7 linked regions of the Macaca mulatta genome follow. The protein of the gene in region 5 purifies or fractionates together with the protein of the main gene of each other region. This does not show direct contact. Links are inferred from orthologs where the notes say so. Each region holds a gene or a part of one and is shown on either strand. Other genes may lie near its edges.

Evidence for each region.
Region 1: the proteins of ANAPC2 (region 5) and NEK2 purify together in Homo sapiens (affinity purification with mass spectrometry; 4 studies listed by BioGRID and IntAct, with this or other methods). This does not show direct contact. The link is inferred for Macaca mulatta from reciprocal best matches to the Homo sapiens genes ANAPC2 and NEK2.
Region 2: the proteins of ANAPC2 (region 5) and ANAPC7 fractionate together in Homo sapiens (co-fractionation; 6 studies listed by BioGRID and IntAct, with this or other methods). This does not show direct contact. The link is inferred for Macaca mulatta from reciprocal best matches to the Homo sapiens genes ANAPC2 and ANAPC7.
Region 3: the proteins of ANAPC2 (region 5) and ANAPC13 purify together in Homo sapiens (affinity purification with mass spectrometry; 3 studies listed by BioGRID and IntAct, counting the BioPlex papers as one, with this or other methods). This does not show direct contact. The link is inferred for Macaca mulatta from reciprocal best matches to the Homo sapiens genes ANAPC2 and ANAPC13.
Region 4: the proteins of ANAPC2 (region 5) and ANAPC16 purify together in Homo sapiens (co-immunoprecipitation; 5 studies listed by BioGRID and IntAct, with this or other methods). This does not show direct contact. The link is inferred for Macaca mulatta from reciprocal best matches to the Homo sapiens genes ANAPC2 and ANAPC16.
Region 6: the proteins of ANAPC2 (region 5) and CDC26 purify together in Homo sapiens (co-immunoprecipitation; 7 studies listed by BioGRID and IntAct, with this or other methods). This does not show direct contact. The link is inferred for Macaca mulatta from reciprocal best matches to the Homo sapiens genes ANAPC2 and CDC26.
Region 7: the proteins of ANAPC2 (region 5) and ANAPC11 purify together in Homo sapiens (affinity purification with western blotting; 7 studies listed by BioGRID and IntAct, with this or other methods). This does not show direct contact. The link is inferred for Macaca mulatta from reciprocal best matches to the Homo sapiens genes ANAPC2 and ANAPC11.

Annotation. Positions count from the first base shown.
Region 1 is NC_133406.1:69,411,566-69,416,132, forward strand, and holds the start of NEK2 (serine/threonine-protein kinase Nek2), read right to left. Parts: upstream 2,855-4,567; 5' UTR 2,822-2,854; coding exon 2,726-2,821; intron 1,887-2,725; coding exon 1,669-1,886; intron 1,084-1,668; coding exon 843-1,083; intron 1-842. UniProt on the Homo sapiens protein: Protein kinase which is involved in the control of centrosome separation and bipolar spindle formation in mitotic cells and chromatin condensation in meiotic cells.
Region 2 is NC_133416.1:117,568,079-117,572,522, forward strand, and holds the start of ANAPC7 (anaphase-promoting complex subunit 7), read right to left. Parts: upstream 3,043-4,444; 5' UTR 2,962-3,042; coding exon 2,861-2,961; exon of another isoform or gene 1,860-2,860; intron 1,394-1,859; exon of another isoform or gene 1,351-1,393; intron 1,115-1,350; exon of another isoform or gene 1,060-1,114; intron 1-1,059. UniProt on the Homo sapiens protein: Component of the anaphase promoting complex/cyclosome (APC/C), a cell cycle-regulated E3 ubiquitin ligase that controls progression through mitosis and the G1 phase of the cell cycle.
Region 3 is NC_133407.1:37,526,641-37,531,247, forward strand, and holds the start of ANAPC13 (anaphase-promoting complex subunit 13), read right to left. Parts: upstream 2,890-4,607; 5' UTR 2,855-2,889; exon of another isoform or gene 2,809-2,854; intron 2,409-2,808; exon of another isoform or gene 2,235-2,408; intron 1-2,234. Other genes in the region: CEP63 (centrosomal protein of 63 kDa), read left to right, coding at 3,115-3,390. UniProt on the Homo sapiens protein: Component of the anaphase promoting complex/cyclosome (APC/C), a cell cycle-regulated E3 ubiquitin ligase that controls progression through mitosis and the G1 phase of the cell cycle.
Region 4 is NC_133414.1:77,394,383-77,398,387, reverse strand, and holds part of ANAPC16 (anaphase-promoting complex subunit 16), read left to right. Parts: intron 1-2,452; 5' UTR 2,453-2,479; coding exon 2,480-2,621; intron 2,622-4,005. UniProt on the Homo sapiens protein: Component of the anaphase promoting complex/cyclosome (APC/C), a cell cycle-regulated E3 ubiquitin ligase that controls progression through mitosis and the G1 phase of the cell cycle.
Region 5 is NC_133420.1:5,270,145-5,274,149, reverse strand, and holds part of ANAPC2 (anaphase-promoting complex subunit 2), read right to left. Parts: intron 3,107-4,005; coding exon 2,932-3,106; intron 2,456-2,931; coding exon 2,336-2,455; intron 1,905-2,335; coding exon 1,787-1,904; intron 108-1,786; coding exon 1-107. UniProt on the Homo sapiens protein: Together with the RING-H2 protein ANAPC11, constitutes the catalytic component of the anaphase promoting complex/cyclosome (APC/C), a cell cycle-regulated E3 ubiquitin ligase that controls progression through mitosis and the G1 phase of the cell cycle.
Region 6 is NC_133420.1:45,041,003-45,045,574, reverse strand, and holds the start of CDC26 (anaphase-promoting complex subunit CDC26), read right to left. Parts: upstream 3,007-4,572; coding exon 2,926-3,006; intron 1-2,925. UniProt on the Homo sapiens protein: Component of the anaphase promoting complex/cyclosome (APC/C), a cell cycle-regulated E3 ubiquitin ligase that controls progression through mitosis and the G1 phase of the cell cycle.
Region 7 is NC_133421.1:91,557,490-91,561,181, forward strand, and holds part of ANAPC11 (anaphase-promoting complex subunit 11), read left to right. Parts: intron 1-369; 5' UTR 370-380; coding exon 381-489; intron 490-1,263; exon of another isoform or gene 1,264-1,453; intron 1,454-1,533; exon of another isoform or gene 1,534-1,772; intron 1,773-3,692. UniProt on the Homo sapiens protein: Together with the cullin protein ANAPC2, constitutes the catalytic component of the anaphase promoting complex/cyclosome (APC/C), a cell cycle-regulated E3 ubiquitin ligase that controls progression through mitosis and the G1 phase of the cell cycle.

The sequences.
Region 1 (4,567 bases), on a different chromosome or scaffold from region 5:
AAAAAAAAAAAAACAAGAGTTCAAGAACCTACCCAGAGATCGAAATTCACTCGACGGATTTGGGTTTGGTTTAGCACCCAGAACTCTGCATTTTAAACAGACACTCCAAGTGAGTCTGATGCAGATGACCAGGACCTACACATTGGAAACAGCTCTTGAGGGCAGGGACAAAATCCATTTCATTTTTGTAATCCTTGAGTTTAATGCATTGTAATCATTCCATAAAAGCTTGAACTGAATATGCTTTAATTTGCATGAATGCTCAAAAAATTGAACCCACTGAGAGATGACAAACAGTAGCAAACCTTAGAGTAGGAATCTGTCTTCATCATACTTACATTATTACACATAATTCATGAAGCAAACAAAAACTCATAGACTTTATTGGTCTGGTGGTCCATGTGGAAAAATATAACAGTATTTTCAATTCTTAAACAAACAGAAAACTCAATTTCCCTGCTTCAGAATGCTTAACATTAAAAGATGTTTTGGCTGGGAGCGGTGGCTCACGCCTATAATCCCAACAATTTGGGAGGCTGAGGTGGGCAGATTGCTTGAGGTCAGGAGTTTGAGACCAGCCTGGCCAACATGATGAAACCCTGTCTCTACTAAACATACAAAAATTAGCCAGGCATGGTGACATGCACCTGTCGTCCCAGCTACTCTACTCGGGAGGCTGATGCAAGAGAATCCTTTGAACCCAGGAGGCAGAGGTTGCAGTGAGCCGAGATCGTACCACTCCACTCCAGCCTGGGCAACAGAGCGAGACTCTGTCTCAAAAACAAACAAAAAAACAAAAATAAAAGATGTTTTAAAAAGTATCTAAATTCTGAAATACTTACAGGAGACATGTAATAAGGTGTGCCAACAAATGTTTTTGCAAAACTCGTGTCGTGGTTTAATATTCTAGCTAGCCCAAAGTCTCCAAGCTTGACGTTTTGCTTGCCATCCAGGAAAACATTGGCTGGTTTCAGATCCCGATGCAATACAGTATGACCACCATCACTTCGTCTGTGGCATTCCTTCAGGGCCAGAGTCAACTGAGTCATCACTCGAAGAACAAACTCTTCATCTAAGTATTGCCTGAAACCAAAACAGTTATACAGCATATAACTTCTAAAAAAAAAAAAAAATCGTTGCCAAGATGGGATGATATAAATTATCCAGTGTACTAATAGGGAAATCAATTATTTATTTATTTATTTATATTTTTTGAGACAGAGCCTTGCTCTGTCACCCTGGCTGGAATGCAGTGGCACGATCATGGCTCACTGCAGCCTCGACCTCCCAGGCTCAAGCAATCCTCTTGCCTCAGCCTCCCAAGTAGCTTAGACTACAGGCACATGTCACCATACCTGGCTAATTCTTGTAGAAACAGGGTCCTACTATGTTGCCCAGGCTGATCTTGAAATCCTGGGCTCAAGTGATCCTCCTGCATCGGCCTTCCAAAGTGTTGGGATGACAGGTGTGAGCCACCACACTCAGCCTATAGATTGTTATTTTGATATAAAATATGGGTGTTGATTCACCGGGAATTTTCTAAAGTACTATGGACCTACCAAACAAATGCAAGTATACTCTTCCATATTACTGATCCTAAAACAAGATGCTTAAAATAAATGAAAGTAGACCTAATTTCAGCTTACATTTTTAAAAGATTATGCTTACCTTTCCTTGGTTCCCTTTGTAATTACACTAGCCAGATCCCCTCCTTCACAATATTCCATTACAATGTACAGTGTTGTGTTGGTCCGGTCAATAATTCGATCATAGTAACGAACGATGTTTGGATGTTTCAGTTCACGAAGCAAATTCACTTCAGAAACAAGCATCTGTTTCTCAGTTTCTGTCATGGAGCCATAGTCAAGTTCTTTCCAAACTAATATCTAAAATAAGAATTTCCAAGGTATGAATGAACTCATTACGCTCAAAAACAAAGAATGAAAGTTCCAAGATTTAAAAAATAACCTTCCTTTTAATTATATCCTACAATCAAGGTCATTATCTAATTTAGTTCAATGAACTTAAGGAACTGTGAGTTTACTTCCATAATCTTCTTTCAATTTCTAAGCAGTAAATGATATTGTAGGGAGATAAAGGGGAATAAGGCACATGAGGTCTCCCCCAACCCCTACCCTCAGTTGGTTAGTGGGAAGTTGGCAAAAAGGTACTTTAGTCAAAATTGGGGTGGAGGTGGTCAAAGTCCCTGCCCCATTCCACCTCAGTCGTGTTTTCCCAGGATGAGACACCTTGGAAAAGCAGCCAGGCAGTTTCCTGTCCAATATTACTTTCTGTAAAAGGTCTACCTGTATACATTGGGAAATATGAATCCAATAATCCGAATAATGGGTATTTTGAGGGAGTCTGACTGCAGATACAAAGCTTCGGGTTCTGGTGGTCCTGCCCCTTTCTTGTGTCTGAGAGGGCCACTCTTAGAGCTCTAAAAACAGCTCAGGAGTTAGCTACGTGTCACCAATGGAAGGTCCTTAGCAACCCAAAGCAGAAGAGAGAAATGGGGAGAGAAACGGGAAAAGATGGAAATACATATATCAAAAGACGCGGTCTCCCATCCTTTAAGCGACCCAGGACAGGCTGTCAGATGCAGACTCAGTAAAGACGGCTGAGTCTTCCGGGCACCCACTTCCCCAGCCCTCTCGGTTCCCTTCGGTGGCGCAGGGCGCTCGCCCCTAAGCAGAGGCTGGCACAGGGAAGGGACCACGCTCACCTTGCCGTCACTCTTCCTCCGGATCTTCTGGCAGCGGCCATAGGAGCCTGTGCCAATGGTGTATAACACTTCATAGTCCTCAGCCCGGGACGGCATGGCCGGCCAGCCGCCAGAGTCGCGCTGCCTCACGCAGGTTGCGCCCCCAAATGCGGAGCTCCAGGGACCGGGACCGGGAGCTTCAGGGACCAGCACGGAGAAGCCCCCGAGCAGCGCTAACCAGTCACCCTTGCCTTCGGCCCCGTTTAACTGTCGCGGGCCCTGATCTCGCAGTCTATTGGCAGGCGGTGGGCCCGCTTCGCCTCTCTGATTGGCTAAGAAGAACACAACAATACCCTAGGCATCTTGGGAAAAGTGTCACTAGGCAACCGCGTCGGCGTCTGCTTTTAACCTGTGGGAGCAGAGGGCGGAGCTAAACCAAAGGGAGGGCGGGAGAAAGGAAGCGGCAGCAGGCGCCTCTTGGCAACTCTAACCCTCTGGTAGAGATCGCCAAGGTAACCGAGATCGAAGGACCTCCCCTCAGGCTTCTTTGCACACAGCTTCCACCAAATGCCTTCTGACCTTTGCACTCTGGCCCCTCACACTACCTACTCTCCCCAGAACACGCCTTCCTCGCTCAGGTTCCAGTACCCTGAACCTGGGTGGGGTCACGTTGAGGACACGCTGAGAGCTGAATACAAATTAGAAATTAGACTGGGCGCCGTGACTCACCCTCGCCCGTAACCCTAGCACTTTGGGAAGCCGAGGTGGGTGGAACGCTTGAGCCCAGGAGTTCAGACCAGCCTGGGCAATATAGCAAACCTCGTCTCTACTGAAAATACGAAAATTAGGCCGGGCGCTGTGGCTCACGCCTATAATCCTAGCACTTTGGGAGGCCGAGGCAGGCGGATTGGGATTGCTTGAGGCCAAGAGTTCAAGACCAGCCTGGCCAACATGGCGAAACCCCGTCTCTACTAAAAATGAAGAAAAAAAAAATTAACCGAGCATGGGGGTGCATGTCTGTAATCCCAGCTTCTTGGGTGGCTGAGTCATGAGGAACTGCTTGAACCCGGGAGGCAGAGGTTACAGTGAGCAGAGATTGTGCCACTGCACTCCAGCCTGAGTGACACAGTGAGACCCAGTCTCCAAAAAAAAAAAAAGAAGAAGAAGAAATACAGTCGCTCTCTGACCAAGCACTTTACACATCTTGTCCCGTTTATGTGTGCCAAACACATAATTCACCCTATTGACAATACTTCATTGAACACAGATTCTTTTTTAGGCACCCACACAAACCAACTTTCCCAGCTTACGCAGCCAAATGAACAGTCCCATGTTTACCAGGGAAGGAGCACCTAGAGGCCTCCATCCAGGGCTTGTTGGAGAAATACGTACATTACCAGAAAGCTAATAATTTGGCAATGCATAAACAGGCCAGTTTTCTTTAAATATCTATTTGGCATAGGATTAAAAGAAACCTGATTTTTTTTTTTTTTTTTTTTTTTTTTTTTGTTTTGAGACGGAGTCTCGCTCTGTCACCCAGGCTGGAGTGCAGTGGCCGGATCTCAGCTCACTGCAAGCCCCGCCTCCCAGGTTCACGCCATTCTCCTGCCTCAGCCTCCCGAGTAGCTGGGACTACAGGCGCCCGCCACCTCGCCCGGCTAGTTTTTTGTATTTCTTAATAGAGACGAGGTTTCACCGTGTTAGCCAGGATGGTCTCGATCTCCTGACCTTGTGATCCGCCCGTCTCGGCCTCCCAAAGTGCTGGGATTACAGGCTTGAGCCACCGCGCCCGGCCCTGATTTTCTATTAATAAGAATTTAAAAGCTCTTTATGTTAAAATAAGGGACTTATTACATGCACTGA
Region 2 (4,444 bases), on a different chromosome or scaffold from region 5:
GTTTGAATTTAACAGTGTCTACTGCCTATTCCACAAGAAATTTTAAAGTATAAACCATGAAGGGCAGAAACCTGAACATGTCCTAAAGCTAGGAAACTGCCAATCTAACCTAACATGAAAAAGCATGGGCTGAACTTAGTCTAGCCAGAGAATTAAACTGTTTCAAACTCTCCTGTAACATCTTTGAGAACTAAGAGCAAGTAGGGCCTAAATCTCCAAACGTGGAAACTATGCTTTGACAAATCACTCAGAACCAAGAACCAAGTGAAAGGTTCCAGAATAAACACAGAAGGCTGACAGAGACCAGGGCTCCTGTCAACATGAAGTGGATGGTGGCAAAATGATGGGTCTCACTAGTAAGGTCCAAAGCACACTAATGAGGCCGGGCTCGGTGGCTCACGCCTGTAATCCAAGCACTTTGGGAGGCCTAAGTCATGGGGATCACTTGAGGTCAGGAGTTCGAGACAAGCCTGGTCAACATGATAAAACTCCATCTCTATTAAAAAAAAAAAAAATTAGCCAGGCGTGGTGGTGCGAATCTGTAATCCCTGTTACTCAGGAGGCTGAGGTGGGAGGATCGCTTGAGCCTGGGAGGTGGAGGCTGTAGTGAGCCAAGATCGCACCACTGCACTCCAGCCTGGGCAACAGAGCAAGACTCTGACTGAAAAGCAAAACAAAACACCAAAGCACACTCATGAAAATCCAATGGGCAGCAGCAGCTGCATTGTAAGCACTTTAAGGACCTTTCCCTTCTGACCTAGACCAGCTTCTATAGCAGGCCAAACACTAATACATCTACAGAGTAGAAGTTTCCATGATAATGCCATTTGGAGGTAGCAGACTGGTGGCTCAGAATGGAGACTCTCCAGTCAGAGAAGACCAGGTCCAGACATTGTACTCCTCCATTTATTAGATGTGTGAACTCAGACAAGGGTATTTCACCTCCCTGAAGTTGTACTCACTTCCTCAACACACTCAATAAGCATGTGAGTGCTTAATGCGCACATCCACTGTGCTTTCAATTGCTAGGCGATGCGAAGGGTAGAAAAGTGGGAGTACCTGAGAGTCCTGGGAGTCAGAGAAGGTTCTCTAGGAGAGATGTTCAGGCTAAAACCTGAAGGAGGAGGCAGCGCTGAGATAAGGACTGTTGCAGCAGGAACAGCAAGTACAAGGGCCCAGAGAACACGCTTGGTACATTCAAATAACACAAAGAGGCCAAGCGCGGTGGCTCACGCCTGTAATCCCAAAATTTTGGGAGGCCGAGGTGGTGGGATCACCTGAGGTCAGGAGTTCAAGACCAGACTGGTCAATATATTGAAACTCCGTTTCTACTAAAATTACAAAAATTACCTGGGCATGTGGCGCTCGCCTGTAATCCCAGCTACTTGGGAAGCTGAGGCAGGAGAATCGCTTGAACCCAGGAGGCGGAGGCTGCAGTGAGCCGAGATCGCGCCACTGAACTCCATCCAGCCTGGGCGACAGAGCAAGGCTCTGTCTCAAAAAAAAACAAAAATAAATAAAAATAAATAAATAACAGAAAGAATAGCCAGAGAGGCTGGAGAGCAGTGAACACAGTAATGAGATGAAGTAGCAGAGAGTGAAGGGCAGATAGTTCCTTTCGGAGGCCATGGGAAATAATTTTCATTAGTGCAATAAAGGATTTTTTTTTTTTTAAGACGGAGTCTCGCTCTGTCGCCCAGACTGGAGTGCAGCGGCGCGATCTCGGCTCACTGCAAGCTCTGCCTCCCGGGTTCCCGCCATTCTTCTGCCTCAGCCTCCCCAGTAGCTGGGACTACAGGTGCCCGCCACCACACCCGGCTAATTTTTTTGTATTTTTTTTAGTAGAGACAGGGTTTCACCGTGTTAGCCAGGATGATCTCGATCTCCTGACCTCGTGATCCGCCTGCCTCGGCCTCCCAAAGTGCTGGGATTACAGGCTTGAGCCACTGCAACCAGCCAGTGAAGGATTTTAAGCAGGAGAGGGGCATGTCCTTAAGGATGGACACTCAAGGATGGAATCAGCCCAGTGCTTCAATGAAACAAGAAAGGCGCCACGCCCACCCATTAATGGAATCTCCCGTTTCTTTTTTGAGACAGGCTGTCGTTCTGTCGCACACGGTAAAGGACAGTGATGCGATCACGGCTCACTGCAGCCTCGACCTTCTGGGCTCAAGCAATCCTCCTGCCTCAGCCTCCCGAGTAGCTGGGAACTCAGGCACGCACAATCACGCCCGGCTAATTGTTTAATTTTTATTTTTCATAGAGCAGGGTCTCCCTATGTTGCCCAGGTTAGTCTTAACTCCTGGGCTCAAGCGATCCTCCCGCCTCGGCCTCCCAAAGTGCTGGTATTAGAGGCGTGAGCCATCGCGCCCGGCCCCGTTTTCAGGGGTTTCCCAAGGCGAGAAAGTGGACCCTCCTGATACACTTAATGGGGTGACCAATCTCAGATGCGGGGCTAGAGCATAAAAACCAGGAGGCTGGGTCCCGGAGCTGCAGCGAGAGAAAAAAACGTTCTCTGGAAGGAGCCGAGAGGGGAGGATTCGGCCCAGCGATGTGACAGTCGCGCTACCCCGCGACAGGTGCCTCAGAAAACCCTCGCCTGGGTCGTCCTCAGAGCCTCTGCCTTCTATTTGTCCAAGCCGCCGCTCGCCACATCTCCGCAGGGACTTGACGCCGGCACCCAGTGAACCCAACTTGCGCTCCGAAGTCTGCTCCGCTCCACTACGCCCTCGCAGACGCCGGAGCCTCCGCTGGTGCGGGAGGCCGCTCCTTCCCGCCTGTTCCCGCGTGCCCTGAGCCCCCGGTCCCAGACCACTGCCGCTTTCTCCTCAGCCCCAGGCCGCTCCCCGCCTCAACTCACGGGTTGTTATTACTCATTGTAAGTAACAAGCTGCTGAGGAGCCGCACGTTGGAGTGCAGCCCCGCGGCCGCCATGTCCCGCACGTGGTCTATCACATTCATCCTGCCCTGCAAGGCCGCGGGCAGCGGCGGCAGCACTGTCTCGAAAAACCGGTAAGGGATCCTTAGGGAAGACTCCAAAATGGCCGCGTCGCCGGGGTCCATCGGGTCCACACGCGGCACCGCCCCCAAGCAAGAGGTAACTACTGAAGTGCCCGAATAAAAAGAAACTCGAGTCCCTGCTCCTGTCGTGGTCCCTTTCCGGTGAAATGAGTTGTTACTTTTACGCAAAAATTACGTCATCATCCTAAACTGCAAAATTTACTGAGGACTTACAATGAGACAAAAGTTACCTTAGTAAGACTACTTGGTCAATTTGAATGAGTCTGAGAGGAATTTGGGCCTCTCAGAAATTAAAATGTGTGAGCATTTACCAGAAATAAAATATAGTAAGGTGAGGAAAAGCGCTCCAACTGGAATTAAATATTCTAATCGGGCGCCAGGGACAGACCTAACGGCTTTTACAGTCGCGCATGCGCACCAGGCAGGGGCCGCCGCCTCCCTGCTCAGGTGTTTTGTGTTCCTGCTAAAGTCAGGCTTTGTCCCTGGATGAACTTGTTAATTCGAGGGGCGTATTTTACCATGTAAAATGATTCCCTAAATCCGTGGAAATAAAGACTAGATCCAGGAATTAGCTGATACCCATATAAACCAGCATGTGTCTGGCACAGTTAACTTTTTACAAAAGTTTTACACAAGTTATTGGACGTTCACAACAATCCATAAAGTTGAAGTTGTCTTTCCCTTCTCACAAGGGAAGAAACTGCCTGCTTAAATTTTGTGCTCAGGTTGTTAAATGGTTGACTTGGAATCAGATCGCCAGTGGTTAAATGTGATGGATCGCAAACTCGAATGTATACAGAGACCAGGGAGGTAACTGAGCCAATGAGGCAGTTTAGGTATTTGAATCAGAATCCCAATATCCTCCACAATCACCCTCTCAGATATAGCCTTTCGCTCCTTTCTTGAAGGAGACAGTTGTTTTGGTCTATATTTTGTTTTCATTTGATTTTTAGAGTAACAGATGCAAAAAAAAATGCTCTGAAAAAATCACGGTATATCTTCACCAGTCAACTTTTTCAGCTCTTACATTTTGTCACAGTTGAAGCTCCTGTGATCCTTTTCCCATCTCATCCCCTACTCTAGTTTTCTGGATGTATGAGACCTTTGATGTGATTTTGGTAGGCATGATCACTGTGAACTTTTCTTTTTTTTTTTTTTTTTGAGATGGAGTTTTGCTTTTGTCGCCCAGGTTGGAGTTCAAAATCTCAGCTCACTGCAACCTCTGCCTCCCGGGTTCAAGTGATTCTCCCTGCCTCAGCTTCCTGAGAAGCTGGGATTACAGGCACCTGCCACCACTGTCACGCACGTCCGTGTGAAGAGACCACCAAACAGGCTTTGTGTGAGCAACAAGGCTGTTTATTTCACCTGGGTACAGGTGGGCATGTAGGAGGATGAGCCGCAGACAAAACTCCTCAGACACCAA
Region 3 (4,607 bases), on a different chromosome or scaffold from region 5:
AAAACCCCAACAAATGACCAATTCACACCCTACCAGCAATTTTCTTAAAATGGTAAGTCATGGGCCACACTTAGTGTAGGATCTGGGACCATTTACTTGTATTTTAAATTTAAATGTATTACTACTGAACTCTGCTTTGTACCAGAGTTCACAGATACCAATATATTTCTTTTCAATTACCTTAATTTATGTTTTGCTTTATGCTTAGCAAACTGTTATGCAATATCCAGACTTAAAATTTTCCGCTGGATTCTAATTCGTAGTATGTGAACGTGTTTTCCCCTCTAAAATTATGCTCAATATATATTAAATGATATTTACTTATCTATATTTGAATCACATACATCTTGTTCTACAAGACAGATTCAAACATACTTGAACAGATTGAAAAGAGCTATCATTTATTGTAAAGCAATAATATATTATCTTAAACTTAAAAACAAAGTTCAGTCTTAATAATTACTTATAGATAACAAAGAATAAATAGGTCCTTAGTTAATGAATTATTTAATTCAGAAGTAGACAACCTTGCTTAATTTCATCCTATCTGTGGTATGCTTTCTAATCCAAAAGGCTGGCTAGCTTGGAGGATACTTTTGGATTCCCTGTTTCCAAGGTTGGGCCCTGATTCATCATAGGCGTCATCCTATGGGTGCTCCCTGTTACAAAGTCACAATCCAAAAAGCCCAGAAGCCACTGGCATCAAAGGTACTCTCAGTTATTCTGTTTCTGAGACTATGGAGACTCACACAATAAGCAATTTTGGCGGGGGCGGGGTGGAACCCACCATCTTGAGGTGCTTTTTTCAGAGCTCAGCCTGGGTGCTATTTTAAGGAAGGAAGCCTTTTCCTTTACAAGGTCAACTTCAGACATCGTCTTGCCTTGAGGATTTGTGTCAGGTCTGTAGTTGGTCCCTTCCCATAGTCCATTTTAGTGTTATCTCAGTATGTTCATGAGCTCCTGTGCCTAAGAATGCTGAGGTTTGGGCCAAGGCAGGTGGAAGTTTTTGTAAAAATGGCTCACATGGCCGGGCGCGGTGGCTCACGCCTGTAATCCCAGCACTTTGGGAGGCCGAGGTGGGCGGATCACGAGGTCAGGAGATCGAGACTATCCTGGCTAACACGGTGAAACCCCGTCTCTACTAAAAACACAAAAAATTAGCCGGGCGTGGTGGCAGGCACCTGTAGTGCCAGCTATTCGGGAGGCTGAGGCAGGAGAATGGCATGAACCCGGGAGGCGGAGCTTGCAATGAGCCGAGATCTGGCCACTGCACTCCAGCCTGGGTGACAGAGCAAGACTCCGTCTCAAAAAAAAAAAAAAAAAAAAAAAGACTTGGTCTCAAAAAAAAAAAAAAAAAAAAAAAAAGGCTCACAGATGTCCCCCATAGGATAACTGCAAGATATCCCCAACACCTTGGCAAAAATTATACACAGATTGGTGTGTAGGAAAGGGTTTAAAAGATCTGGGCAAAACTTAAGCAAAACGCGCCCTGCTACTTCTGTCACCGGTGAGCCAGGTGAGGGCTTAATTAATCCAGTACTCAATAATTAACCCCCTACTACCCAGTGGATAACTCAAAGCAAGACGAAGTTTTGGTTATACTTTTGAAGTCCCTGTCTTATAAGAGCTCCCCACTTTCCTGCTGCTACTCCTTTGTCCTTGCTGCTGTGTCTCCTGGGATACCCTTTTCACTTTCCTCAGCTGATCCAAACCTGACTTTCCCAGGCCCACATAGGTTTTCCACCTTTTAGTAAGGTTTTCTCAGATCACTCGAGCTTCAGTAGGCCTTCTATCCTTGAACTCTTGCTTCTTGTCCTAACTTAAATCTACTAAACAAGCTTTGTGATCAATTGCTCAGGTATTATTGTCTCCAACTGTTATGTGTACATTTTGTACCCAGGATTCCTTAGTAGATCTTTCTACAATTTGGCCTCAATCTTTTTCACCTGTCCCTTCTCCAAACACCTCAAACCCTGTCACATTTTCCAGCCTTGACAGTTAAAACCCCCCTTTCCACATCACTAATGCCACTCTTCCTTTCAAGATCAACGCAGGCGTCAGCTCTTGGAGGTCAACATCCCATTTCCGGGGTTAGGCGTGAAGGTGCCTTCACTCTTAAGGGGCTGGAAGGATGGAAAGCAACAAGATAATCTAATCAATGCCCAAGGCACAGCCACCGTCCCAAATACTCGTCACACAATACGACCACTGTTTCCTGAACAAACTTTTCTTACACGTGACAGTCCCGATGCCTGCAATGCTGTTTGTTTCTTCCTTTTTATTCCAGCGAACCCATAGTCAGTCTAAAAATCTCAGGTCTCAAGTCGCTTCCTGTAGGAGGCCGCCTCCAAACCTCAGGCTGAGCGCGGTCCCAGTACCCACCGGGGATCTCATAGTTCCCTAAGCACAGAGCATGGCACCAACTAGGTAGCCTGTCAAACAGCCCAGATGTATGTCTTTCCAGACACGCAGTGCCTGCGTTTCCCGGGACAGGGACATGTCTTATCCATTTCTATACATTATAGCTTTGTAAACATGTATCTGTAAGGTCAAAGCGGGAAAATATTGTTCCTTGCTAGAAATGAGCCTCGCAGGCCACCACACTGTACGAGAGGCCGCCCCTCAGCCGCGGCTTCCGGCCTGACGCAGGATGTACCAAACGTGGAAGCGGAGACGGGGAGGTCTGGGGTGCCAAGCAAGTCCCTTTCCTCCCGACACAGCGTGCAGTAAAGAAAACGGTTATGAGCGTAAAGTGACAGCCTCGGCCGATGGAAATAGGGGGAAGTCCGACACTGAGCCACGAACGCATTCCCGCGCCTCCAAAACCTAGGCCGGGGGCGCTGCAAACCCTTACCGTTACGCGGCCCAGCGCGGCAGACGCTTCCTCCTGCCACGCCCCGCATCACGTGTCTGCACGCTCTTTCTCGGATTCCCGGATGTGGGTGAGTCCATTTGCTCGCGTGCAGGGGAAGTCTGGAGAAGACATTGATTCAATTATTAAAAGTGTGGGGGCAGTGGGCGGAACGAACGCTCCGACTGCTGAGGCTGGACGTAAGCTTAGTGGTGGCGCGCGTGCGCAGTGCACGCCCGAGGTAACGGCGGGAAGGCTGAGGGATGCGCTTGCTGCAGCCGTGTAACCGCCCGTGCGCAAGACGGAAGCGCAAGGGGCGAGCGCGTCCTGGTCCGGAGGCGGCCCAGGCTGCCTTGGTGACTCTGGCTTCGCGGCCTCATGGCTTGCGGCCGGTTCGCGCAACAGTCTGCGAACCACCAGGCGCCTCCCCGCCGGCTCGCGTCCGCCCCGGAGCCCCGTCCCTCGGCCTGGCCCGCTATGCCCTGCACACCGGCGTAGTCCGGCATGGCGCAGCCCGGCGCGCGGTTCGGCCCCGCCAGGTGGTCACAGCGTTTCCTCGGAGGCCGGGTGGCTGGGGGCGCTTCGGAGAGTAGCCAGGTGGGCGGGCGAGCTGCGCCCAGTACTCACCTTTCCCGGCGGACCCACCTTTCTTTTCAGCGGAGGGACCCCTGTGCGGCCTCCCGGCCAGGGCTGCTGTTTAGCTAGCGCTGTTAGGACTACTTCATTCACGGCACAAGGGGACCCGCTCATTTAGGGTGGCATGTTAAGGTTGGCAGCTTTTAAAATAGTGAGTTGGTGTAAACGGTTATGTTTAGTACAGCAGGTACGGAAATATGGCAGAAATCGTGGACTGAAATTGGAGAACCCTGAACTAACTGCTCCATGCACACAGATCAGGGATAGAAAGAAACAAGGACGGTTTCTTAGGAACACTTTAATCATGGAGATACTTGAAGACAGTACATTTAGGCTTATAATGTGGTTTTTTTTATGTCGTATACGACATCAGGAGAGTAAAGATGTGTATGATGTCAGAGACTAGTCATCTTGTATAGTTTAAGCACCGTACACTAATATGCACAAAGTAGTTTTCCCTGAGCTTTATGTCCGGTTAAACTTATTAAAAGAATTTATTCTTTTATAAAGCAGTATTGTAGGGTAGATGCTCTGTATTTATACAGTTCCTCACGTGCTTGCGTTTATTTTTTAGGTAAGAGAAAATCATAAGGATCGTTGATTAGATTTCTGTTAGCTGTAGCTTAATAGTAAAACAAAGTATATATATTTTCTTATTTGGAATGCAGTACTATTTTTAGATTAATTTTTGAGATTGCCTTTTGACTGTGGCATGATCAGTGATCAGGGTAGTAAAAAAGGCTCTGAAACTAAAATGGGGTAGAGATTTATAAACAGGCACACTGCCTTTTAAAATGTATGTAGATGCAACTCTAAAAGTTGTTTGTAAAAATTGTATATGTTGATTGTACTGATGCCATTTTCTCTCTTTAAAAGGTGGAATGCCTTTGCTTAGTCCTTTCTGTTCTAATTTACGTTGTGCTGGCAGATGGTGACAGCATCAGTAGTCCACTCTGTCATTGCTTCCTGCTTTCAAAAAATGTCAACTTGATTTGGAATTCAGCTAAAGCCAACATTGACACAAGGTTTCAGGAACTGAATTTCCGATCTTTATGTTATTTTAGTCCCCTGCCCGCCCCCGTCAGGAGCTAGGTTTTTCAGTTTTGCAAAGCCACACTAC
Region 4 (4,005 bases), on a different chromosome or scaffold from region 5:
GGCTAATTTTTTTGTTTGTTTGTTTGTTTTGAGATGGAGTCTCACTCTATTACCCAGGCTGGAGTGCAATGGTGCAGCCTTGGCTCTCTGCAACCACCGCCTCCCGGGTTCAAGCAATTCTCCTGCCTCAGCCTCCTGAGTAGCTGGGATTACAGGCACGCACCACCACGACCAGCTAATTTTTGTATTTTTAGTAGAAATGGGGTTTCACTGTGTTGGCCAGGCTGGTCTCGAACTCCAGACCTCGTGATCTACCCACCTCGGCCTCCCAAAGTGCTGGGATTACAGGTGTGAGCAACCGCACCTGGCCATTTTTTCTTTAAAAAATACTGTATACCGGCCGGGCGCGGTGGCTCAAGCCTGTAATCCCAGCACTTTGGGAGGCCGAGACAGGTGGATCACGAGGTCAGGAGATTGAGACCATCCTGGCTAACACGGTGAAACCCCGTCTCTACTAAAAATATAACAAATTAGCCGGGCGAGGTGGCGGCGCCTGTAGTCCCAGCTACTCTGGAGGCTGAGGCAGGAGAATGGCGTAAACCCGGGAGGCGGAGCTTGCAGTGAGCTGAGATCGCGCCACCGCACTCCAGCCTGGGCGACAGAGCGAGACTCCGTCTCAAAAAAAAAAAAAAAAAAAAAAATACTGTGTACACTTTTTAGAGAGCTGAGCGCAGTGAGACTTTGGGAAGCCAAGGTGGGAGGATCACTTGAGACCAGGAGTTAAAGACCAGACTGACTGGGCACGATGGTTCATGCCTGTAATCCCAGCACTTTGGGAAGCCGAGGCGGGCAGATTACGAGGTCAAGAGATGGAGACCATCCTAGCCAACATGGTGAAACCCCGTCTCAACTAAAAATACAAAAATTAGCTGGGCTTGGTGGCGGCGCCTGTAGTCTCAGCTACTCAGGAGGCTGAGGCAGGAGAATCGCTTGAACCTGGGAGGCAGAGGTTGCAGTGAGCAGAGATCGCGCCATTGCACTCCAGCCTGCCGACAGGTGAGACTCCGTAAATAAATACATATGTACATACATATATACACACCAGACTGGGCAACATAGCAAGACCTCATCTCTGTTGTAAAAAAAAAAAAATGGAAAGAGGCCAGATGCAGTGGCTTATGTCCATAATCCCAGCACTTTGGGAGGCCAGGCAGGTAGATCACCTGAGGTTAGGAGTTCGAGACCAGCATGGCCAATGTGGTGAAGCCCCGTGTCTGCTAAAACTACAAAAATTAGCTGGGCATGGTGGCTCATGCCTGTAATTCCAGCTACTTGGGAGGCTGAGACAGGAGAATCGCTTGAACCTAGGAGGTGGAGGTTGCAGTGAGCTGCTATCGTGCCACTTTAGTATGGGTGACAAGAGCAAGACTGTGTCTCAAAAAAAAATAAAATACCATATACACTTTTTAGAATTTTTGTTAAAGTTGTGTAAGCTTCTGTGGCAAAGAGAGTGTTTGTTTTGAACTTTAGTAAGGTGTCATGTATTCAGGACAGTTTTCTCTATAACATTTGCATTTTTTGATATGCAATAAGGTTAAACACTCACAGGTGCTCTGTTCATAATAGGCAATGATTTCCAAGATTGTTTCCTGAACTTTTTGTTCCGGTTTTGGGACGCCACCAAGTGATAAGTTTGGGTATTACATTTGAATGAAAAGGTTAATTTTTTTTGAGAGAGAGTCCTGTTCTGTCACCCAGGCTCACTGCAACCTCTGCCTCCCGGGTTCAAGCAATTCTCTTGCATCAGCCTCCCGAGTAGCTGGGATGAGAGGCGCCCACCACCACGCCTGGCTAATTTTTTTTGTATTTTTAGTAGAGACAGAGTTTTGTCATGTTGGCCAGGTTGGTCTTGAACTCCTGACCTCAGGTGATCTATCTGCCTCCACCTCCCAAAGTGCTGGGACTACAAGCGTGAGCCACCGTGCCTGGCCAAAAGTTAATTTTTAATGAGAAGGCCAATAGGTATTTCCTAACTAGTTCCCCTTCCCTGGGAACAGAACACAGTGTTACTCTGGAATTTTATTTGGAAAATATTATAATTTATTTATGTGGCTTGATCAGGATGTATCCAAGACAAACTGTCCTGTGAAGTGTGATGCTTTTATCCTCATATAACTTATTTCCTCAGTCAAATTTCTGCCTTGGCACTGCCATATCACCCCTTCATAACTCATGAATCACCCACAGTCAATCTCAGTTGACATAAACAGTTTGCTAATGGTAGGAATTCATGTTTTAAGTAGATATACTATTCTTAAGCTTATTTTCAATTCAAAACCTGACTGATATTTTGGCCTGAGACATCAATAAAATATCATGAAAGTAGAGAGGATAGAAAAACGGGGAGCTAACTCTTTATAAAACTGCATGCTGACCCTTACGGCAGCTCGAATGAAATGTTGTCACTCTCACTTCCATAAACTTGCCAATTGCTGTTTTTCTTTCTCTGTAGTGAAGTAAGAACTCTGCTAGAGAGGAAATGGCTGCTTCATCATCATCCTCTTCAGCTGGTGGGGTCAGTGGAAGTTCTGTCACTGGATCTGGTTTCAGTGTCTCAGACCTTGCCCCACCACGGAAAGCCCTTTTCACCTACCCCAAAGGAGCTGGAGAGATGTTAGAAGGTGATCTCATGCTGCTTTCTGAATAATTGGATTCAGACCTGCAATGAATATTAATTGTGAAGAAGCTATTAAGTGGATTAAAGATGAGTTTGCCCTGATTTCAGCTCTACATTTCATCTCTTGTCCCCATCTCAAAATAATATATTTAAAAACAGTCTTGCTCCAGAATCAGAATGTTGGAGCTGAAAAGGACTTTGGAAATCAAGGAAGTCATCTAAAGTTATTTAGATCCAGAAAAGTTAAGTGATTTGACCAGGTTAAAGGCAGAGGTAGGGCTGGGCACCGTGGCTTATCCATGTTATTCCAGCACTTTGGGAGGCCAAGGCAGGCGGATCACTTGAGGCCAGGAGTTCGAGACCAGCCTGGCCAACATGGTGAAACCCCATCTCTACTAAAAATACAAAAATTAGCCGAGCATGGTGGTAGGCGCCTGTAATCCCAGCTACTGGAAAGGCTGAGACAGGAGAATCACTTGAACAGTAGAAGTTGCCATGTGCCGAGATCATGCTACTGCACTCCAACCTGGGCAACAAAATGAGATTCTGTCTCAAAAAAACAGAGTTGGCCGGGCACAGTGGCTCACGCCTGTAATCCCAGCACTTTGGGAGGCCGAGGCGGGCGGATCACGAGGTCAGGAGATCAAGACCATCCTGGCTAACATGGTGAAACCCCGTCTCTACTAAAAAATACGAAAAAAAAATTAGCTGGGCGTGGTGGCGGGCGCCTGTAGTCCCAGCTACTCGGGAGGCTGAGGCAGGAAAATGGCGTGAACCCGGAAGGCAGAGCATGCAGTGAGTCAAGACCGAGCCACTGCACTCCAGCCTGGGTGACAGAGCGAGACTCTGTCTCAAAAAAAAAAAAAAAAAAAAAAAAAAACCAGAGTCAGCACTGAGTCCAGGAATTCTCTTGACCTCCTACTCCAGTTTGCTTTATCCTGGCACCTGTCTACCTCCCATGGTAGTAGGTTTGATGTGTCTTTTTATAGTATGATTAATCTACAGATAGATTCACCCTGTCAGAAAGGTTCTAAGAGGGAATAAAAGCTAATACAGTGCCCTTTTATGTGAACATGACTCCTGACCCACTGCAGCATGATGCTGTGTGGTTTTTCTAGCACCAGAGCCAGATTTGCATCAAATCATTCACCATCTTGTTCAGCATCATTGGCTAACTGACTAGCCAAGATCAGGGTACAGGCTGTAACCATGTCATTTGAAGAGCTAGACTAATAATTCTTATCAGGAGGCATAAAAATCACCTGAAGAGTTTACTTAAAATGCACATTTCTGGCCAGGCACTGTAGCTCACGCCCGTAATCCCAGCACTTTGGGAGGCCGAGGCGGGTGGATCACCTGAGGTCAAGAGTTCAAGACCAGCCTGCCCA
Region 5 (4,005 bases):
CCAGGCTTGCAGGGTCGGTCTTGGACAGCTCAACAGCCAGGTCCCCTGTCCCGTCCGAGTCCCCTGTCAGCCCGGCCACAATCTGCCGCACCGTGTCCTCCCGTGTCCTGCCGACGTGAGTGCTGCTGTGGCCCACAGTGTGGACACCCTGCGTGCACCTCCCACCACTCACCCCAGTCCCGGCCCCATCTAGGCCAGCACCACCCACCCTGCCTCTACACTCAGTGTGACAGGCTGTGTATTAAAGACAGGCCCGTCAGACTCCTTAAAAACAAATAAACTCAACGCTACTCGGGAACAGCAGGAGCTGTGAGCGCGCTCCCAGCACTTAGGGACATTGAGCCAGGAAGACTCAGGCCCAGGTGTCTGAGGCTGCAGGGAGATAGGATTCTGCCTCCGCACTCCGACACAGCAAGAACCTGTCTCGGAAAAAAAAAAAGGCCAGGTGGGGTGGCTCACGCCTGTAATCCAGCACTTTGGGAGGCTGAGGCAGGCAGACCAGGAAGGCAGGAGATCGAGACCATCCTGGCTAACACAGTGAAACCCCGTCTCTACTAAAAATACAAAAAAAAATTAGCCGGGCGTGGTGACGGGCGCCTGTAGTCCCAGCTACTCCAGAGGCGGAGGCAGGAGAATGGCGTGAACCTGGGAGGCGGAGCTTGCAGTGAGCCGAGATCGCGCCACTGCACTCCAGCCTGGGCGACTCTGTCTCAAAAAAAAAAACAAAAACAAAGAACTGGCCCAGAGTGCTGATGAGTTACTGGGTACAGCACACTAACATGGTACATGTATACATATGTAACAAACCTGCACGTTGTGCACATGTACCCTAAAACTTAAAAAAAAAAAAAAAAAAAAAAAAGAAAGAAAAAAAAAAGAAGTTGGCCGGGCGCGGTGGCTCAAGCCTGTAATCCCAGCACTTTGGGAGGCCGAGACGGGTGGATCACAAGGTCAGGAGATTGAGACCATCCTGGCTAACACAGTGAAACCCCGTCTCTACTAAAAAATACAAAAAACTAGCCGGGTGAGTTGGTGGGCACCTGTAGTCCCAGCTACTCAGGAGGCTGAGGCAGGAGAATGGCATAAACCCGGGAGGCGGAGCTTGCAGTGAGCTGAGATCCGGCCACTGCACTCCAGCCTGGGCAACAGAGCGAGACTCCATCTCAAAAAAAAAAAAAAAAAGATATATCTTCTGAAAAAAAAAAAAAAAAAAAGAACTGGCCCAGAAGCCAGGCCAGTTACAGCCACAAAGCACCAAACAAGTCCAGACAGGCGCCAGATTCCCACCAGCTGCTACCGCTCGGCTTCTGGGGTCTGCAGTGCCTGCCGGCCCTGAGGAATTTCCAGGAGGCCACGTCAAGGTCCTCATTCCAGCACATTCTCCACCGAACAACCCCGGGCAGTGTCTGTTCCTTGTTGTAGGAAAGGCTGGGACAGCACAGAGCCCACTCTCCTTGCCTGGTCAGCCGGGGGGGCTGGTCAGCACCAAGGCGAGGCCAAGTGGAAGAGATTCTCTCTGCACTGGGGAGGAGGAGGCAGAGGAAGGGCTGCGGTGGGCCTCTGGCAGCTGCACACAGAGGGCACAGTGACACCGTGTGACAAGGACAGGTGCCCAGCACCGGCAAGAGGAAAGGAAAGAGCCCTGGGCCTGATCCTGTGCACTCCCCAGCTGGGGGAGACCTTGTGTCCTGAGGGCTGAGCACACCCTCTGGCTGCCCCCAGGACCACGAGGAGCTCAGCAGGATGCCGGGGGTCCCAGTGGCTCCCAGGCCGGCGCGGCCCTCACCTCAGGTAGCGGCGGATGGGCTCACAGGCGACCTCCAGGATGACCATGGAAGGGTCCAGCACACGCAGCGCCTTGATGGCAGAGATGTAGAGGGTGATGATGTCACACGTGTTGACGCCTAGAGACAGGGCAGAGGCCAGCAGTCATGCAGTGCCCGGGACCACAGCCTCCCAGGGGCCAACGCCCGAGTAGACAGCTGGCCATGCCGGTCAGGTGGTCTACAGGTCCCCACTGCAGCCTTGTTCCCTTGTCCCCCCATCCCCATCTCTACCTGCTCACAGGCCCTGCCCTGCAGGGTGGTCTGTTCTGAGAGAATTAAGTCTCATCACCTCAGACCTACCAGTCAGTCCCGACTCCCTTCAAAGAAGAAACAAGCAAGCTGATGGGCACTCGAGATCCCCTAAGGACCTCGCCAACTGCTTCTCCACCCATTCCTTCCTTAGACCTACAAGTCCAGGGCTAGCAGACTGGGCCCCAGGCTCCCTGGACATGGGCACCCTGGTGAGTGTCTAAGCCCCGAGCGCTGGGCAGCCAGGCAGCACACGGCACCTGGATGCAGGAGCCGAGTCTCCAGGGCAGCCTTGAGGGACACGAGCAGCTGCTGCCTCTGGTCTGTCCTCTCCAGGCAGTACTTGAGGTCCTCGATGGCCGGCCGGGAGTCTGGAAAGTCTACAAGAAGAGGAACATCCCTCAGGGACGAACACAGATGTGTGTGCACGTGCGGGCTGGTGCAGGGTGTGTGCAGTGTGTGAGAGGACATGCGCTCGCCAGCCCCAGGAAGATGATGAGACCACCTGCTAGGCACCAGACGTCCCCCCGGACACTTCGGCGTGCTGATGCATTTGACCACAATGCCACAGGGTGGACAGAGCAACACCCAGGGGCCAGTCCCCAGCAAGAGCCAAGAACAAGGGAGCATAGCAGTGGACACCTAGAAGCACCGTCCAGCATCTGCCACACCTGCCCTGATCCAGGCATAGGGGACACCCACGGTGGGGAGGGTCCCAGCCCTGCCCGGTGCACCCCCCTGCAAGAGCGACAGCGAAGGCACGGGGAGCCCAGACGCAGACACAGAGGAGACGCGGCGAAGGCCCTGGGAAGGCTCCCCAGACAGGAGAGAGGACCCGAGGCCGGGGCGGGACAACCTCGGATGATGCTGAAGAGCTCCTCGATGCGCAGGCTGGCGTAGATGCGGTAGAAGAACCTCTGCACGTGGCAGCGCCAGCGGCGCAGGGTGTTGCCAGCCTCAGGAGACGCAGGCCTGGCGGGGCCGTCCTGCAGGAACACCTTGCCGAGCCAGCCGACCACCCGCTCGATCCACTGTCGGGAGAACGCTAGCGTGAGCTGTAGGAAGGCACGGTGAGCCCCAGGCTGACTCACAGGCTGGGAGGAGCCTCGCAGCCACCCACTGTGTCGGCCAGGACCAAGGGGAGCCCGAAGGCCACCTGTGTCTGGAGGCGGAAGCACATCAAAACCTGCAGGGTGGGTGATGGCCCAAAAGGCAATGTCCCGGCCCCCCTCTGGTCTTCATGCCTCTCACACGCACCAGTGCCCACACTTATCACTGGCAACAGCAGCCCTAGCATAAGACGTGATGGACACACATGGCCTGTGCGCTGTGCCTGGCGGGCACATTTGCCCCCACTTAAATGGATAAACACGCTCTTGAGACCAAACATGTGACCAGCCCCCACTCCCCCGCCATGCAGATGACACCGTACATCGCAAGAGCGTCTCTGAGTGAGCACAAACCCCTAGACGGCAATTCCACCGCGGGGTCCCAGGCGTGCACACATCCCACAGACCTGCTACCCAGTAACAAGACCGCACAGATGTTCACCCTCTCCACCCGACTGCCCACTCTTGCCCACCGCTGCGGGGACGCCCTCTCTCTCTGAAAGCCTGACATCACAGCCAATCTGCACCTCAGTAGGTGGACTCCGAAGCACTGAGGAAAGGACAGGTGACATGTGGGAACAGGGTAGGGGGACCCACAGGGGTGGGCCCAGCTCCCCTATGGCCCTGGGAGCCCAGAGCAGAGCCCCAGACCACACCCCAACAGTGCAGAGGCCTGGAGGCCCCATGTGAGGGTGTCTCGCCCCCGCTGTGGTGCAGGCCGGCTGTAGGTCAGTCCATGAGGGACCGGCCAAGCAAGTCCACACTCAAGTAGGGCAGCAAACAGGAGAAGGGGGTCCATTCACTGGCCCTTCTGGTGGGCC
Region 6 (4,572 bases), about 40 Mb from region 5:
CTGGCCAAGACAGTGAAACTCCATCTCTACTAAAAATACAAAACTTAGCTGGGCATGGTGGCACATGCCTGTAATCCCACCTACTCAGGAGGCTGAGGCAGGAGAACCACTCGAACCAGGAAGTCGGAGGTTGCAGTGAGCCGAGATGCACTCCAGCCTGGTGACAGAGTGAGACTCCATCTCAAAAAAAAAAAGATGTAACCCCTGCCCTCCAGGATGTCACAGTCTAATAGGTAAACAGCCAAAGAGACGATTATAGGGTGATCCGGGCTATGACCTATGACAGAGGGAAGTCAACACTGCCAAAGAGACGAGGTAAGGAGTTGGGGTGTGGTGGTACAACAGGAAGCTACAACTGGAAAGATGTAAGAGCAGACAAGGGGGAGCAAAGGGTATTTCAACAAATTTATTATTCTAGAGAATAGACAGAAAAATAAATTGACTGGTAAAGAAATAACCACCAAAAATCTATAGCCTAACTGATCCCATGAGATTAAAAGTAACATGAGAAGGTTTTATGCTATCTTATCAAAAGGTCTGGGTTTTGTGGCTTCATTTTGTTTTCAGATAAAAGGTTTGGTTCTTAAGTCACATGTGACTGCAGAATCCACAAAGTATGTCTCAGTTTGATCATTTTCAAAAAGAAACACTTATCCCGTAACTGCCACTACCTGACTGTAAGGACAACAGATGATAACTTTCTCTAAGAGAGTGAAATGATGTTTTATCCAAAATTCCTTAATAATAATAGAATGGCTCAGCTACTCAAATCACTGGAATTACCACCATTCTTCACCACTTGCTGCTGGACTGTGGGCATTTAAATGCCAAGCATCGGGCTGACCGCAGTGGCTCATGCCTGTAAATCCCACTGCTTTGGGAGGACTGCTTGAGCCCAGGAGTTTGACACTAGCCTGGGCAACATAGTGAGACTCCATCTGTCCCCACAAATTTTTTTTTTTTCTTCAGACCAAGTCTCGGTCTGTCACCAGGCTGGAGTGCAGTGGCGCCATCTCGGCTCACTGCAACCTCCACCTCCCAGGTTCAAGCGATTCTCCTGCCCTCGGCTTCCCAAGTAGTTGGGACTACAGGTGCATGCCACCACACCCAGCTAATGTTTGTATTTTTAGTAGAGATGGGGTTTCAACATGTTAGCTAGGATGGTCTCTTGACCTCGTGATCCGCCTGCCTCGGCCTCCCAAAGTGCTGGGATTACAGGCGTGAGCCACCACACCCGGCCCACAAAAAATTTAAAAATTAGCCAGGCATAGTGGCACATGCCTGTATTCCCAGTTATTCAGGGGGCCGGACGTGGTAGGATCACTGGAGCCTGGCAGGTAGAGGCTGCAGTGAGTGGTGATCATGCCACTGTACACCAGCAGGGCGACAGAGCAAGACCCTGTCTCAAAAATAAAAATAAAAAATAAAATAAATGCCAACACTCACAAAGTATTACAGTGAATAAAATAAGGTATTGCCTTTTATGTGGCAAATGACCTTCCTGATTACTAGTAAGTGATGTTAGAAAGTTCTACCTAAATATCTTTGTGAAAACAAGTTCTAAAAGGCAAACAACTCTATCATTCTGAGAATATCCAAGTGGAATGAAATCACTTAAAAGGGTTCCCACTTTGAGCAACTGCTGTTTCAGAAGCTAGAGTCACAGTAGATAATCAAACTCATGTTGGTAATAAATGAAACAGGCCAGTTTTCTACTGGTTTCACTTTAGGGCATGACTGTCCCTGCTTCCTAAGTTACTCTAAAACAGGGCAAAACCCACTAGATAACTGCCTTTGGTGAAAAGACTAACTCAATAGTGAGCTGACTCTGTAGAGTCAAAGTTCGGCATGCTAGCATTTTATGAGATTTGTAACAACTGAAGTTTAAGCCATACTTTAAAGCTCATCCTTAATAATATATGAGTTTTTTAAAAGCAGAAATTATGATGCTTCGAGAACACTAAAGTGTCTTGGGATGAAGCAGGGGGAAGAAATCTAAGTTATTAGTCTTAATATGAAGCATATACAATCCATAATAAAGCTGTTGGTAAATACATGCAAAATGTACTGTCCTCTGCCATATAGTACAAGATATCTGCTAGGACAGCAAATGAAAATAGACTTGTATTGAGCCCTCCTTTGGGCCTGGTATTGCAGGGAACAGATGCAGACAGAAATATACTAATCCCTGACTTCAAGGAGCTTATGGCCCAGTGAGGGAAAACAAAAGCAAACAGACAATTACAACAGAGACTAACAGTGCTTATGAGAGAGGTTAGCACAGGAGGATGAGGTTGAGCCTAACCCAGCTGGGGGCTGGAAGAAGTAAGAGTTAGCCTGGCAAAGAAAAATAAAGGACTTTTCTGGCAAAGGGAACACTTGTGTATAGGCATTGAGATTAAAGATAACCCAGCAGTGAAAGTGGAGAGATAAGCAAGGACCAGCTCACAAAGGACCTCATATGCCATGCTAGGGAATTTGGAATTTATTCTGTAGACCACTGAATAATTTAAGTCTTATTAATGGACATCTAATACCATGTAGCAAGGCCACACTTAAAAATACATATGGGGCTCCTACCATGAGCTAGATGGTAGGAAATGGTGATGCAAACAGACATGATTTCTGCAATCAATCACTGGCTGGGTGCAGTGGGTCACATGTGTAATCCCAGCACTTTGGGAGGCTGAGGCGGATGGATCACTTGAGGTCAGGAGTTGGAGACCAGCCTGGCCCCAACATGGCAAAATCCCGTCTCTACTAAAAACACAAAAATGACCCGGGCATGCTGGCATGTACCTATAGTCCCAGCTACTTGGGAGGCTGAGGCAGAGGTTGCAGTGAGCCAAGGATCATGCCACTATACTCCAGCCTGTGTGACACAGCGAGACTCCATCTCAAAAAAACACAAAGTTGTATTCATACCTCCAGGTCCTTTCGAATGCTCTCAAACTCTTCAATGTCATCAAGCTTTAGCTCTAGGCGTGTTGGTTTTCGTCTCAGCATACTGAAGTCAACACTAAGGGCCAAACCCAGTGAACTATTAGCTGATAAAAATGAAAGAGAGGAGGAAAAACTGAAGGTAATAAAGTCTCAGATACAAAACATAAAATCAGTTTGCAAGCCTGTGTACTAAAGTGAATGGAAGTATTAAAACTTTATTTGAATTCACACAGACTTCTAAAGTCTTTTTAAGAGATGGGATCTTGCTCTTTGCCCAGGCTGGAGCACAGTAGCATGACCTTAGCTCACTACAGCCTCAACTTCCTGGGCTCAAGCAATCTTACTGCCTCAGCCTCTAGAGTAGCTGGGACTACAGGTGTACACCACCATATCTGGCTAATTTTTGTGTTTTTTGTAGAAATGGGATCTCTCTCTGATGCCCAGGCTGGTCTCAAACTCTTGGGCTCAAGTGTTCCTCCCTCCTCATTTTCCCAAAGTACTGGCATTATAGGCAAGAGCTACTATACCCAGCCAACTTCTAAAGTCTTTAGGTATATGATTATTACATTTTTATTACATTATGGAGATCTACAGCTCTGTAAAATCAAAAACTCTTTCAGTAAGAATTTAAAATAGCAAACTATCACTTTAATCTCATGTTCTAGTCACATTCAAAGAAATACTCTAGCTAAAAGAATAAACTATCACATCTCAGTATAGTTAGAGGGGAAAGTGGACAAACCAGTGAATTTAATCTACTCTACGTGAGAACTGTCAGAGATTTGTGATCACTCCTGAATGCTAAAATCAGTTTGCTAAATCTCATGAAGACTCCAACTCACCAATTCACAGGATTATCCTCAGCGTCCAAACAGATCCTAAATGTGTGTACGTCATTCATTAAACAAACACTTCTTGTGCTCCAGCTACAGAATTAAAAGGTACAGTCATAATCTGTGGGGAAAATAAAGAAAACTGTGATATCATATAACGAGAACCCTAATGAGGATACTGGCACTGGCATCACACAGGCACCTAATCCAGTCTGGGCTGAGTGTGGGGTGGACAAGGATGTCAGGCAAGCCTTCCTGGAGAAAATGATATCTTAGTTGACTTCTGAAGGGCAGGCAGAGAGAAGAGTGCACAAGGAGGCTCAAGACCAGCTTTGGCAACATAGCAAGACCCTGTCTCTACAAAAAAGTAAAAAAATTAGCTAGGCTGGTAGTGTGTACCTGTAGTCCTAGCTACTCAGGAGGCTGAGATGGAAGGATCACTTGAGCCCAGGAGTTTGAGGTGGCCACAGTGAGCCATGATCTCACCATAAGACCCCAACTCAGAAAAAAAAAAAAAAAAGAAGAAGAAGAAAAGAGGTTCAAAAGAGCATTCCACAGCCTGAAATCCCGAGGTAATACTGTGTTAACAAAAACCATTTTGTTTTGTTTTGTTTTGTTTTTGAGAAAACACAACTCCCCCAATTGAGTTTAATATCTGTTGATGGCATCATTTGTATATTCTCCACAGCATCCCCTAGAGTGTATCTATAAAAACAGTCAGTAAATGTTTGTTGAATAAAAGGTGAGATCATTCTTGAGCACTGTGCTCTTTTTCCATTCCCATTCTTTACATTCT
Region 7 (3,692 bases), on a different chromosome or scaffold from region 5:
AAATTAGTCTGGTGTGGAGTCGCGTGCCTATAGTCTCAGCTACTCAGGAGGCAGAGGCACAAGAAATGAGGTGAGATCATGCCACTGCGCTCCAGCCTGGGTGACAGAGTGAGACTCCGTCTCAAAAAACAAAAAATTAATAAAAATAAAAGTAAAATAAAATAGAAACAGGGCTCACGATGTTTCCCAGGCTGGGTTCCACGATGTTTCCCAGGCTAGGTTTGGACTCCTGGGCTGGAGTGATCCTCCTGCCTTGGCTCCCTGAGTAGCTGGGACTAAACTGTGCCAGGCTTATACCTATTTTGGCGCCTAAATGTTCTAGCTCTGCAGACTCAATTTAGCCAGTCGTCCTGTTCCCCTCCACCACAGGCTCTGTTGCCATGAAGGTGAAGATTAAGTGCTGGAATGGCGTGGCCACTTGGCTCTGGGTGGCCAACGATGAGAACTGTGGCATCTGCAGGATGGCATTTAACGGCTGCTGCCCCGACTGTGAGTGTCCCCTCCATGCTGTCTGAGCTGCCCCAGCTGTGAGTGTCCCCTCCGTGCTGTCTGAGCTGCCCCGGCTGTGAGTGTCCCCTCCGTGCTGTCTGAGCTGCCCCGGCTGTGAGTGTCCCCTCCGTGCTGTCTGAGCTGCCCCGGCTGTGAGTGTCCCCTCCGTGCTGTCTGAGCTGCCCCGGCTGTGAGTGTCCCCTCCGTGCTGTCTGAGCTGCCCCGGCTGTGAGTGTCCCCTCTGTGCTGTCTGAGCTGCCCCGGCTGTGAGTGTCCCCTCTGTGCTGTCTGAGCTGCCCCGGCTGTGAGTGTCCCCTCTGTGCTGTCTGAGCTGCCCCGGCTGTGAGTGTCCCCTCCGTGCTGCCTGCTGCACTAGCCTCGGTGGCTCCTGTTAAACCTGCATGACATCCCCACAGTTCCTTTTCTTTTTTTTTTTTTTTTTTTGAGACAGAGTTTCGCTCTTGTTGCCCAGGCTGGAGTGCAGTGGCGCAATCTCGGCTTACTGCAACCTCTGCGTCCTGGGCTCAAGCGATTCTTCTGCCCCAGCCTCCTGAGTACCTGGGATCACAGGCGTGCGCCACTACACTCGGTTAATTCTGTATTTTTCAGTAAAGACGGGGTTTCTCATGTTAGGCTGGTCTCAAACTGTCAACCTCAGGTGATTCACCTGCTTCAGCCTCCCAAAGTGATGGGATTACAGGCATGAGCCACTGCACCCCCCCAACATTTTCATTGTCATTTCATGAAGAAAAGTTGATAGAAAAAAAGCCAGGTGGTTGGGACTCATGTTTGTATAAAGATCCTGCACAGACTTGATAGCATGAAACTCAGCTGTGAAATACGTGGGATTAAAAAGGGATTAGAGGCCAGGCGGGCGGCCTACACCTGTCATTCCAGCATTGTGGGAGGCCAAGGTGGGCGGATCACAAGGTCAAGAGATCGAGGCCGGCACGGTGGCTCACGCCTGTCATCCCAGCACTGTGGGAGGCCGAAGCAGGCAGATCACAGGGTCAAGAGCTCGAGGCAGGGTGTGGTGGCCTACACCTGTCATCCCAGCACTGTGGGAGGCTGAGGGAGGCAGATCTCAAGGTCAGGAGACCATCCTGGCCAACATGGTGAAATGCCATCTCTACTAAAAATACAAAAATTAGCTGGGCATGTGGCGCGTGCCTGTAATCCCAGCTACTGGGGAGGATGAGGCCGGAGAATCGCTTCAGTCTGGGAGACGGAGGTTGCCATGAGCCAAGAGCAAGACTCCGTCTCAAAAAAAAAAAAAAAAAAGATTAGTTTAAACTTTTTATTTGAAAATTCTCAAAATTGAATGGTATAAGCTAGGTGCAGTGGCTCACGCCTATAATCCCAACACTTTGGGAGGCCAAGGCAGGCGGATTGCTTCAGGCCAGGAGTTCGAGACCAGCCTGGCCAACATGGCAAAACCCTGTCTCTACTAAAAATAAAAAAAAATTAGCCAGGCATGGTGGCAGGCGCCTGTAATCCCAGCACTTTGGGAGGCCAAGGTGGACGGATCACCTGAGGTCAGGAATTTGAGACCAGCCTGGCCAACATGATAAAACCTCGTCTCTACTAAAAATACAAAAAAGTAGCCGAGCATGGTGGCGCATGCCTGTAATCCCAGCTCCTCAGGAGGCTGAGGCAAGAGAATCGCTTGAACTTAGGAGGTGGAGGTTGTGGTGAGCCAAGATCGCACCATTGCACTCCAGCCTGGGCAACAAGAGTGAAACTCCGTCTCAAAAAAAAAAAAAAAAAAAGTTTGATTACATTTAGGTTGAAAGCAGAGTTTTGTATCAGCAAAATGGTTTTTCATGAGACCAAAATGAACGTAAAGCAGAAGCAAGGGTCAAGGTTTTGCCCAGGGAGGACAAGAAGAACTCCCCCGAGGACAGTGGGCAATGGAGAGGACAGCGGGGAATGGGGAGGACCGAGAAGCTCCCTACTATCCCAAGTAACCAGGCGTATTTTTGTGGGGCCAGGTATATGCCCATATTGATTGACAGGGTCTCACTATGTTGCCCAAGCTGGACTTGAACTTCAGCAATCTCACTGCCTCAGCCTTGCAAGTAGCATACCACCACACTCATCTGGCTTTGCTTTTTTTTTTCTTCTTTTTTTGAGATAGAGTCTTGCCCTGTTGCCCAGGCTGGAGTACAGTGGCACCATCTCAGCTCACCGCAACACCCACCCTTCTGAGTTCAAGGGATTCTCCAGCCTCAGCCTCCCAAGTAGCTGGAATTACAGGCGCACACCACCACAGCCAGCTAATTTGTTATATTTTTAGCAGAGATAAGGTTTTACCACGTTGGCCAGGCTGGTCTCAAACTCCTGACCTCAGGTGATCCGTCCACCTCGGCCTCCCAAAGTACTGGGATTACAGGTGTGAGCCACTGCGCCCACCCCTGTCTTTGCTTCTTTTTTTTTTTTTGAGACGGAGTCTCGCTCTGCCGCCCAGGCTGGAGTGCAGTGGCGCGATCTCGGCTCACTGCAAGTTCCGCCTCCCGGGTTCCCGCCATTCTCCTGCCTCAGCCTCCCGAGTAGCTGGGACTACAGGCGCCCGCCACTGCACCCGGCTAATTTTTTGTATTTTTAGTAGAGACGGGGTTTCACTGTGGTCTCGATCTCCTGACCTTGTGATCCGCCCGCCTCGGCCTCCCAAAGTGCTGGGATTACAGGCTTGAGCCACCGCGCCCACCCCTGTCTTTGCTTCTTTAGGTGAAGTTGAAATGACTGAATCTTAGTACAATTTTTTTTTTTTTTTGAGACAAGGTCTTGCTCTGTCACCCAGGCAGCAGTGCAGTGGCAAAATCATAGCTCACTGTAGCCTTCAATTCCTGGGCTCAAGTGATTCTCCCACCTCAGCCTCTCAAGTAGCTGGGACTGTAGGCAGGCTCCACAATGCCTGGCTAATTTGTTTTTTAATTTTTTGTAGAGACAGGGTTTTGCTGTGTTGCCAAGGCTAGTCTTGAACTCCTGGGCTCAAGGGATCTGCCTGCCTTGGCCTAGCAAAGTGCCGGGATTACAGACGTGAGCCACCATGCCTGAACAAAACTATATAAATTTTTATTTTTATTTTTATTTTTTTTTTGTGTGGAAATGGAGTCTCACTGTATTTCCCAGGCTGGTCTCAAACTCTTGACTCTGTCCTGCCACAGCCTCCCAGAGTGCTGGGATTATAGGGGTGGTGCCTG